Linked DNA regions of Drosophila melanogaster. The protein of the gene in region 1 purifies or fractionates together with the protein of each later gene. This does not show direct contact. Each region holds a gene or a part of one and is shown in the gene's direction. Other genes may lie near its edges.

Region 1 (3,623 bases):
TGCTTCCTCCTGCCTTATTTTGTCCTTGGGAGCTACTTTCCTGTTCGGATTTGTCTTCCGCGGCATCCTCCTTCTTCGGAAGGGAATCAGTGGCCCCATCTTCCTCCATTTTCGTGGGTGGCGATCCTGCAGTATCCTCACTTGAAGTGCTGATAATGGTAATGGTCTCACCAATCTCCTCCACCGCCACCTCGCTGGTCAACGGCTCGGACTCTGCGTCCTCGGTGCCCCTAGTAGATTCACCACCGGACTGACCACGATCCTTACTCTCCTGGGAGGCCACGGCAGCCAGGGGTATATTGTCGTTGGAGTCATCGCTGGATCCAATTACTAGCTCCACAGATTTTGGTTTATCACTGGCTGGGGAACTTTTACTTTGCTCCCGCTTCAAAGCGTCCAGCTTGTCCTCAAAGTCAATAACTTCGGCTTTATCGTTTGATGGCGAGGCTACGACGTCATCCACATTTTTCAGAATCTCATCGTCAATGACACTGGCCATATCAATGTCGATGTCATCTATTATTTGATCAATGTTTTTGAAGACTTCCAGCAGCTGCGCTTCGTTGGGATCCGCCTCGTCGGAGTCTGCTGTGCCAGCTGCAGAAGAAGTGGCTTCGTCTACACCCTGCTCCTGGTTTCCTGACCCCTCTGGCTTTACCAAGCTTCCGCTTTCGTTGGCCTTCGCCGCAGCCATGTTCTTCTCTAGCAGCATGGAGAGTGTGGGTGCCGCCTGCGAGGGACTCCGTTCGAGTGTGGGCGTAGTAGAAGCCTCACTGGCCGGAGGTCCGGTAATAGGTCGGGACATAAACGCCGCATCTGTGGGGCTCTTCATGGTGATGACTGGCTGATTGGCAACAGCTGAGCTTGGACCGCTGGTCAGCAGCGAGGTGATGGTTGGCGCCGTAGCCCTGGCCACGCTGCCAGTTCCTCCGGCTGCTGGTGCAGCTCCTCCTGGGGTGGGCGTTGCAGGTGCATTGCCTGTGGGCGATTTCAGGAGAGATGTGAGTAGAGGCGAAGGACCCGTCTGCTGTTTGCCATTGCCACTGGTGTTTATGTCCTCCACGTCCATATCGACGGAAGTCGTGTCGGCAGCTTGGTTGGAACGCTTGACGGCTAGACTGCTGTTTCGCCAGTTGCTGGCCAGGTCCTTCTTGCGCTGCTCGCGCTCCCGCATGCGATTCTCCAGCTTCATCTCCTCGATGCGGCGCGCCTCCTGCTCCTTCTCGATCTCCAGCCACATGTCCTGCAGCTCCTGCTCGGTCACCGCGTCCGATTGCAGCGACTCAATCTCCCGCTGGATGCGTCGGTAAGTCTCCTGATCCTGACGCATCTGCGCCTTGATCTCCGCCTGACGCTCCTCCGTGAGCCGACGGAGCAGCAATTCTGTGGGCGTCTCCACGGTGGCCGGCGAGGAGACGCCGGCACTGCTTTCGCTGCTGCGCTTCTTGCGCTTGGTGGCCTCCACGCTCTCCAGCAGATTGCCGTACTGCATGGCACAGTTCTTCTGCGAGAACCAGTCCGCCGGTCGGTTACTGCTGCCATTGCCGCAGATCGTCTTCAGCGTGCGGCTCACCGTGATCCAGTTCTGGTCGCCGCTGCAGGAGACCGCCGACGCCAGGATGAGCTGCTCCCGCTTCGACCACGTGTCCAGCGGCATGCGGCTCAGTTGCAGGCGCTCTTGTACCCCGGCAGACATTCTAAACTGCAATTTATTGATTTCAATCAATAATTCGTAAACAAAACAGAATGCTATCGATGACTACACACGAATCTGTAATACTGCCTATCGTCGAAAATGCAGTGTGACCCTAGCACTGCGATACCGATAGGACTGGCTTATCGATTTGCTAGCACCGCTAACCGATAGCAACACAAAAACAAGTTTTCCGAATTTAATAGCCAGTTAAATAAAAAAGGCGTTTCGAAATGGAGCCCATATCACATCTGGTGAAGTCCTCGCTGCCCAATTACTTGTCAAGTCTGCCGGTTCCCGACAGCATCGGCGGCTGGTTTAAGCTCTCCTGTAAGTTTGGGCAATGAGCGTGGTTTTGCCCATTGGAATTTGATTTGCCTTCAAAGGGCGCCCCACATAAACCCAAATCCACGATAATGACGCAGCATCTAGGGGGGCCAACTAAATGGACTACTAAGGTGCAAATGTGGCGTGATATTGCGGAGCTGCTAACGGGAATTGGAAGTGCAGTGTGTGCACTTCCAGGCAAAAAAGTTGCAGCGATTATGCAACAACTGCTGAGCTCGCCAAGAAATTTATAATTGGAGCAAGTTTGTCTCGCAGATAGGCAACTAGATAGACGCATAATACAGGCATACCAACATGGGTATACCTATAAACATATATGCGCATATCTTGGTGCGTTTATAACCCAATATGTGTGTAGGGAACGACCTTGTGCCGGTTACGGCTGATCGACCAAAATATCTAGTTATAAAGCTTAAAATGCACTGCATTCCGTATTAACCTGGTTTCGTTTGCAGTCAAGGATTGGTTGGCCCTGATCCCACCCACCGTGGTGGTGGCCGGACTCGGCTACACCGCCTACCTGGCCTACTGTCCGGCGGCACGGGCCAGCTGCGCGGCCAAAAACAGCGGACGCTGCAACAACCACATCCGCAAGAACGAGCCCAAGGTGGTGGACATGATCGACGTGGAGGATATTGCGGAGAAGGCGGCCTTCTGTCGCTGCTGGAAGACCAAGAACGTGAGTGCATTCTAACCTCTGAAATATTGTGAACAAAATTTTCAATTGAATCCTCTATTCGCAGTGGCCCTACTGCGATGGCAGTCATGGCGAGCACAACAAGCAGACTGGAGACAACGTCGGACCAATTGTCATCAAGAAGTAGATTGCGGCGGTGCATCGATACACAAACGTTCTAGCATTTCCTCTCGCTGAGCTCCAGTTTGCTTTTAAAACCAATAGTAGTGGCCGAAGCTGTTTGAACCCTTGTAATTGTAAGCAATAATTGATGATATTGATGGATTAAGTTAAAAGGAGCCAATAAAATTGCCCAAACATAAATTCAAATCGATATGCTTAATTCTAATTACTAATAAATGCCAGACCTAACCTTTACCAACAACCAAATAAACCACACACACACATACACACACGTGTGAGAGAAAACCGTGCTGTTATTAATAGAAAACCTTTTATTTTTTATAAATATTTTCTGACTGCAGGCGGCTGTTCCGTTGACAATATCATGCTGTGTTATGCTTAGGCGGTTACAAACAAATTCTCCAGTACAAAATGCAGGAGGCGAGACACACGATTCCGCCAAACGTGGGAGGCAGCACGACAGATATTGGATATCTTTAGTGTACTTATCAGTTGGAACTTAAGAAATGGGCATTGTGCTCTTCCTGCATTTTAAATCTCAAACTTTATTGTTACTGCTGCTGTTGTTGTTGTTGGTCTAAATGAGGGCGGCTGCTGCTTTGAGCGGAGCTGGGCTAGGCAGAGATGATTACTTGAAGATCTTGCCCTGGTTGAACTTGCGACCGTCCTTGTCGGTGCCGGACCAGGAGAAGTACTGGGTGACCAGCTTCTTGGTCTCCTCGCTCTTGGCGTCGAGCTTCTTCCAGTCGTAGACCTCGTAGT
Region 2 (6,153 bases), on another chromosome or scaffold:
TTATCAAATTGACAAATATTTGCAATAACTAACACCGCCGTCAACTTGTTATTCTACTTTTTACACTTACATATCAGATTTTATTGCATACTTTTGGGGTTCAGTTAGAAACCTTCGGATTAAACGACTGAAAATGGGCTTAGCCATAATAGTACTTTCCCAAGCTATCTAAAAAGACAGGTGTCTTTAGATTCGCTTGATTTTACGCCTGCCGTGATACATGCAATCCCAGTAGTTTCCATTCCAGGAACTCATTCACGTGCTCACTTCCTCTTGTTGAGCTCACTTGCACGTGATTGCTGGCCGATGCGGGTGGGGGGCTCCTAGCCACTGCCATTCGGTATCCGATTTACGGAAAAGAAGTCCGTGCAGGACTTCGCCACATCGGGGCATCCGTGTGGCTTTTGTTCGGAATGGGGTCGTCAGGGGGCACTTGCAGGCGCCTGACTTTCAGATGGAGGCCGAATGCTTCGCATAGCTCTTCTGTTTTCTGTTTTCCGGCTGGATTGCGTGTAAACATCTGCGGGCACAAAGGAACTCTTCCACGTTCGACATTTATGCGAAAGTGAATTTCTAATGCTTTCGGTTTCCAAGGCACATTATGGTTTAAAAGCCCTCTGCTCCGTAACTGGAATTTTTAAGGCTTGAGAAAATGTGTTTGCTGTAATCTCCCATGAATTATGTAAGCTGATTCGACTGTTGACTTGTCCCCGATTTCAGAATGTGCAAATCGGTTAGGCTACAGACAGCGCTCTTTATGGTGAATTACATTTAGAACGCTTTACTTTACTGTGCAATCGCATTGATTAATGCCTGGTCTAAATAACCAATAGCTATTAGTTTATAGGAAAATATAAGTCATCAAAGAACAATCACTTTCAATGATGTAGTGCTCCAAAAGAAAACGGCTTTCAGAAAACAGGATGGATAAGTAGTAATCTAGCAATATTGCAAATGGGTTGTTTTAAAGGAATCTGAAATGGTTACTAACCCTAGTGATAAGCATAAAGCTAATCAAATATAGGCAAATATTGTTTTTACCAATAAATTATTCTTTAATTTAATTTATAGTCAAACTATAAGTTCAAAAGGGTGTTTGGTAATAATACTATACATTTTTAAAAGTATTGATAACTACCCCACTGCTCAATGATATCGCAACCGCAGCAAAGTGCCTGTATAAGGAACTGTAATATCTAATTAAGTCAGATCTGAAGCAACTTCCGTACATCTGTAAGATACGATCTATCCATACATACATACATACATATGTGTGCCATCCCGTTTGCGTTTCGGGTTATTACTTGGGTAATCGTATATGGGCCACATATCTCCTTCCCTGTCGCTCTGCTCGATGCACTGCGGCTAACCACGTTTTGTAATAAGCGTAATTCTATATAGTCACGTCGAGCAGTAAGTCGACAGTCGGCCAAGACAGCGGCCAATCCGCCAGATTGATGTGTCGCCCACTTAATGCCGAGCGACTCTTTTGGGACAAGTTGATGCGGCAAATCCTCAGCTTAAAGGAAGCCCGCCAAGTGCGGCGGAGCACGTTCTGGGTTGCTTGGAGAGGTCAGGTCCAGATATGGACACTGGGCGCCCTGCTCCACTGGTTGTGCCGGATGATTGGGTGCTCGTCATCGTAGCATCACGGCATCATGGCATTATGCATTACCTCGATCCAAATTATAGAGCCCAGTGATTCCGGAGCAGGGCTAACCAGCCGGACAACTGGCGTCGATTATGGCGGGCCACCGGACACTGGCCAATCTTTGTCCGGGGATTGCTTGATAAGCGGGTGCCAGCCGTCCAATCGGCCCATTCAAAGGCCCACCGGCTCTTCTCACGCTCATTTCGCAAGCGATTTGGAGGCGGCAACCAGTGTTGGTAAGCACCTGGCCAGCTATAGCGATTTTCGTAACTGTAATGCTAAACCTCTCACCACAAAAGGGGATGGTGCGGGGGCGGGACCAACGGGGCGAATACAAAATTTATAAAAGCCTAGTCGTCGGCACTGGGGATTTTAGTGCGCGTTCGTTTAGTCTGGGCAACGGTTGCTTAAAAAAAAAAAGCTCGAGGATCGTGCAGGATCAGGACTGGAAATCAAGCTGGAGCAAATGGAATCTGTGTAGAATCGCTAGGGATCAACAGCGTCAGTTGAAAATATGCCCAACGTGGACGAGCAGCGGGGAAAAGCAGCTACAAAGAGAGCGGAATCGGAGCAATCGGAGGAAAAGGGTGACCGCCAGGAGGGGGACGGGGATCCGAAAGACGAGTCTGAGGAGGCCACCGCGAAGATCAAGGGCCGTTCCCGATTCACTGCGGCTCTGCGAAGCCTCTCGAAGACCAAAACCAAAAGGGAAAGGGAGCTGGATAAAAGCACCGACAGGGAAACACGCAGCGCGGAGGAAGAGGCTCAGGAAACCCCAGGCGAGCTCGAAGACGTGGCCAGCTCCATCTCCACGGACAGTGGAGCCCTCGGCAAGACCAAGAAAAAGAGCCTGACGCGCCGCCTGCTTCTTGGAGGCCTGAGAAAAAGTGGGAAAACGCCGAAGGGGCGGCCCCACAGCTTGGCGACCAGCGACGACATCAGCGTGGAGCACCTGGAAACAACACCCCTGCCATCGCCACCCGGTTCGCCCACCTCCGCCGGCAGCAGCACGCTGCAGATCACCATCAGTGGCAAGAAGGTGGAGCCATCGCCCGCCAAGAAGAGCGGCAAGAGCAGACCCAAGAGCGACACGGATTATCTGACACCCGCCGCAGAAGAAAGGAAACCGAGAAAGAAAACCACTACCACCACCGTGACCACGAGAGATACGAGCAGCAGCACCCGCACCACCAAGCTGCTGGTGTCGAAGAAGAAGCCCCAGAGCCCCGAGAGAGAGTCCCCATCGGCGTCGCCGTCGCCGCTTATCACCACCACCGAGAGCACGCGCGATACGCCGCCCAGAGAACGGGCGCCAGCAAAACCAAGTCGCGTTCAGTCAGCCAGCGGCACCGGAGCTGTTCGCAAGTCCCAATCCTCGAGCGCATCCAGCAGGAAGCTGGAATTGATGCAGCAGCAGCAGCAGCGCGGCCACCGCCTCAACGCCAGACCACTGGCTGAACTAGCGAACACGGAACCCCAGCCATCAGGGCAGCAATCCCTGGACCCATCCACATCCCCTCCGGCGGCTGAGGACGGAGTCTCCTCGGCGGAAAGCGCCCAGACTATTGCTAATCCCCCGCCCGTTGTCCGCTTTGAAGTGGGCAGTGCAGTCAGGAGTCCCTTGAGTGCCTACGAAGCCGCATTGGCCGCCGCCGCCAGTCAACAGCCCAACTCCAACGAAGAGCTCAGCGACTCCAGCATCCGGCGTCTCAGCTTCGCTCAGCAGCAGCTCATCCTCGGCGACCACGACAGCATCGAGGGCAGGCGGGAAACACTGCACTATCAGTCGGTGGCTAGTGAATACTCCAACCAGGACTCCGGATCCGAGGACGATAGCGAGGAGCAGGCGGATACCACAGAGCCAGAGAACGCCAAGCCCATGCCGGCCTTCGGTGACCTGACCATGGATCAGGAAATGGAACCGGTAAGGTCTCGTCGTCGTCGGATTGCCAATTCGCCAGTTGTCATTTACCTACGAAGAAGCGAAGAAGCCCCACAAGTGATATGTTGGCCCCCTTATAGTGTGTGTTCCAGAGTGTCATTCAACTGTGCGGGCGGCGGGCGGTGGTAATAGCCCAGGGGGTCTCGTCAACTAACCAGCAAATCTCAGTGCGGATTGACGAGCAGCAGAAGGTGTAACTAATACCAGGCTTAGAATTTATTAAAGTGGTGAATTCTCACTTCCTATATTATATATTGATATGCTTTTATATAACTGAGTGTAAACGTGCTATGATAGAACAAACTTTACTACTTATTATAATTCGAAATGCACGGATTATTTATATTTGTATCTTGAAACCCAGAGCCCAAAAGTATGTATCTCTTTATCTTGAGATTTCAAGTCACAAGTGGGATTTCATTGTTTAGTGTATCAAATTTATCAAACTATTCTATTAAGCATGGATCGAACATACAAGTAACTCTCATCCAATCCTTGCTTGCAGGCCATCATGACATCCACCAGCGATAAGCGCGAGCATCTGTACAAGATTCTAGTCATTGGTGAACTGGGCACCGGCAAGACGTCCTTCATTAAGCGCTATGTGCACCAGTTCTTCAGCCAGAACTACAGGGCCACCATCGGCGTGGACTTCGCCCTGAAAGTGCTGCAGTGGGACGCCAATACGATAGTGCGCCTCCAGCTGTGGGATATCGCCGGTCAGGAGAGGTTTGGCAACATGACCCGTGTCTACTACAAGGAGGCGGTGGGCGCGTTCATCGTTTTTGATGTGACTCGCAGTGGGACTTTCGATTGCGTGAGCAAGTGGAAGGAAGATCTAGACTCCAAGGTGCAGCTGCCGGACGGCAGTCCCATTCCGTGCATCCTGCTGGCCAATAAAGTAAGTGATTGCCTAAAGGTTAAAGGAGACCGCATAATTTCTATATTATGTGATTAATACGTTGCTCATCCGTTTTCCAGTGCGACCAGGAAAAGCAGGGCATCATAACGCAGCCCGAGAAGATGGATGAGTATGTGAGGGAGAACGGATTTGCCGGTTGGTTTGAGACATCCGCCAAGGAGAATATCAACATCGATGAGGCAGCTCGTGCCCTCGTGAATAAGGTGATAATCGCTGCTAATGCCCAGCCAAAGCCCCGCTAATCTTCTTCCACTCGCCCGACAGATACTCATCAACGATAAGCTGATATCTGCCGATCTGGCCGATGGCGACAAGTTCAACTTGAGCGCGGCCGATGCAACCGGATCGGATGCCAAGAACAAGTGTTCCTGCTGACCTGGGACCGAGGTCCGGCGACTCCTATTCCCATTCCCAGTTTAAGAGCGAGTTTCAACACAGAAACGCCATGTGCCTACGTCCACTCCATGTTCATGTTGTTAGAAGATAGCGATAACTATGCTTAGGGTTTTAACGTAACATTTGTCTAAGACTTAGTGTCATCCGTATCATCCCGTCCGTCTTTATCTTTAACACCCCGTCTGTGGGTCCACAATGTTGCGCCGGCATCGGGATCCGTGTCACTTTGAGAATTTATATGGTGACACATAACATACCTACGCATACGAAACATTATTACTATCACCATCATTGCCCTAGTTGCGAGGATTAGCCGGAGGTAGTGCAGCATCCGTATCATAGCATACTACATTTGTGTAAAATGCGAATCGTCTTATTGTTTTGTTTGTTTTATTTGCCTCTGCTGGCGAGATTGTTTTATCTTGGAATTATTATTCTCGTATGCAAACACACTCTGCCATCATTATTTGTATTTAGATAACAATACGTACGCTTAATGCAATGCGAAATCAGAAATAAAGTTTTTAATGGTAGTTAAGTTCAGACGACGTGTTTTATTGGCTGAATAAATTCTGTGTAAGTGCTTTTGTGATACAATGAAAATGTTATGCTACTAGTATTTGCCTTCATTGAATCACTGGTCTTTGTAAATAAATACGAATAAAAGCTTTGTTTTTACATTTCCTTTTTTAACGGTAAAAAATCGTATCCCCAACCGGCAATGTTTTTCTTTTTTTTTAATATTCAAACTATCGATAGTTATCAACTATGGTATTCCTTATTGTTTAGTGATCACATATTAAACTTAAAAATAATGATATACAGATAAAAGTGTCGTGCGTTCATATTCTACATAAAATTATTAGCAATTATTTAATCGTTATGAAAAGCGAAACGTATAAACTGGTAATTGGTATGGGAAAAATTGGGAAAAAGCTGGAATCAGGTTTAATTGCAATTTGGTTTTATAAAATGTTTTATGGCACAAACAAACATCCTGACTCAAAAGTGAATTAAGCTTGAAACTTAAATACTCCGAGAATACCGTGAATATGCGTTTACCAATTGCTGCTGAACGGGACCACTATCGATAGAACCTTACAAACTATCGAATCGCTGCAAGACTATTGCCATCGATACTTGCACCTCTATTTATTAGTGTTGTGTAGCCGTGTTACTGCTAAATTGTTTATTGCAAAAATTCCGCAAACGAGAGATATTAGGAATAGAAGACAATATAAC

Evidence for each region.
Region 2: the proteins of Cisd2 (region 1) and Rab32 purify together in Drosophila melanogaster (affinity purification with western blotting; one study listed by BioGRID). This does not show direct contact.

Annotation. Positions count from the first base shown.
Region 1 is NT_033777.3:29,221,643-29,225,265, reverse strand, and holds Cisd2 (CDGSH iron sulfur domain 2), read left to right. Parts: upstream 1-1,837; 5' UTR 1,838-1,926; coding exon 1,927-2,023; intron 2,024-2,496; coding exon 2,497-2,720; intron 2,721-2,784; coding exon 2,785-2,865; 3' UTR 2,866-3,049; downstream 3,050-3,623. Other genes in the region: Brd8 (bromodomain containing 8), read right to left, coding at 1-1,696; eEF1gamma (eukaryotic translation elongation factor 1 gamma), read right to left, coding at 3,490-3,623.
Region 2 is NT_033778.4:9,177,171-9,183,323, reverse strand, and holds Rab32 (Rab32), read left to right. Parts: upstream 1-2,025; 5' UTR 2,026-2,165; coding exon 2,166-3,575; intron 3,576-3,977; exon of another isoform or gene 3,978-4,098; coding exon 4,099-4,494; intron 4,495-4,574; coding exon 4,575-4,718; intron 4,719-4,779; coding exon 4,780-4,890; 3' UTR 4,891-5,460; downstream 5,461-6,153.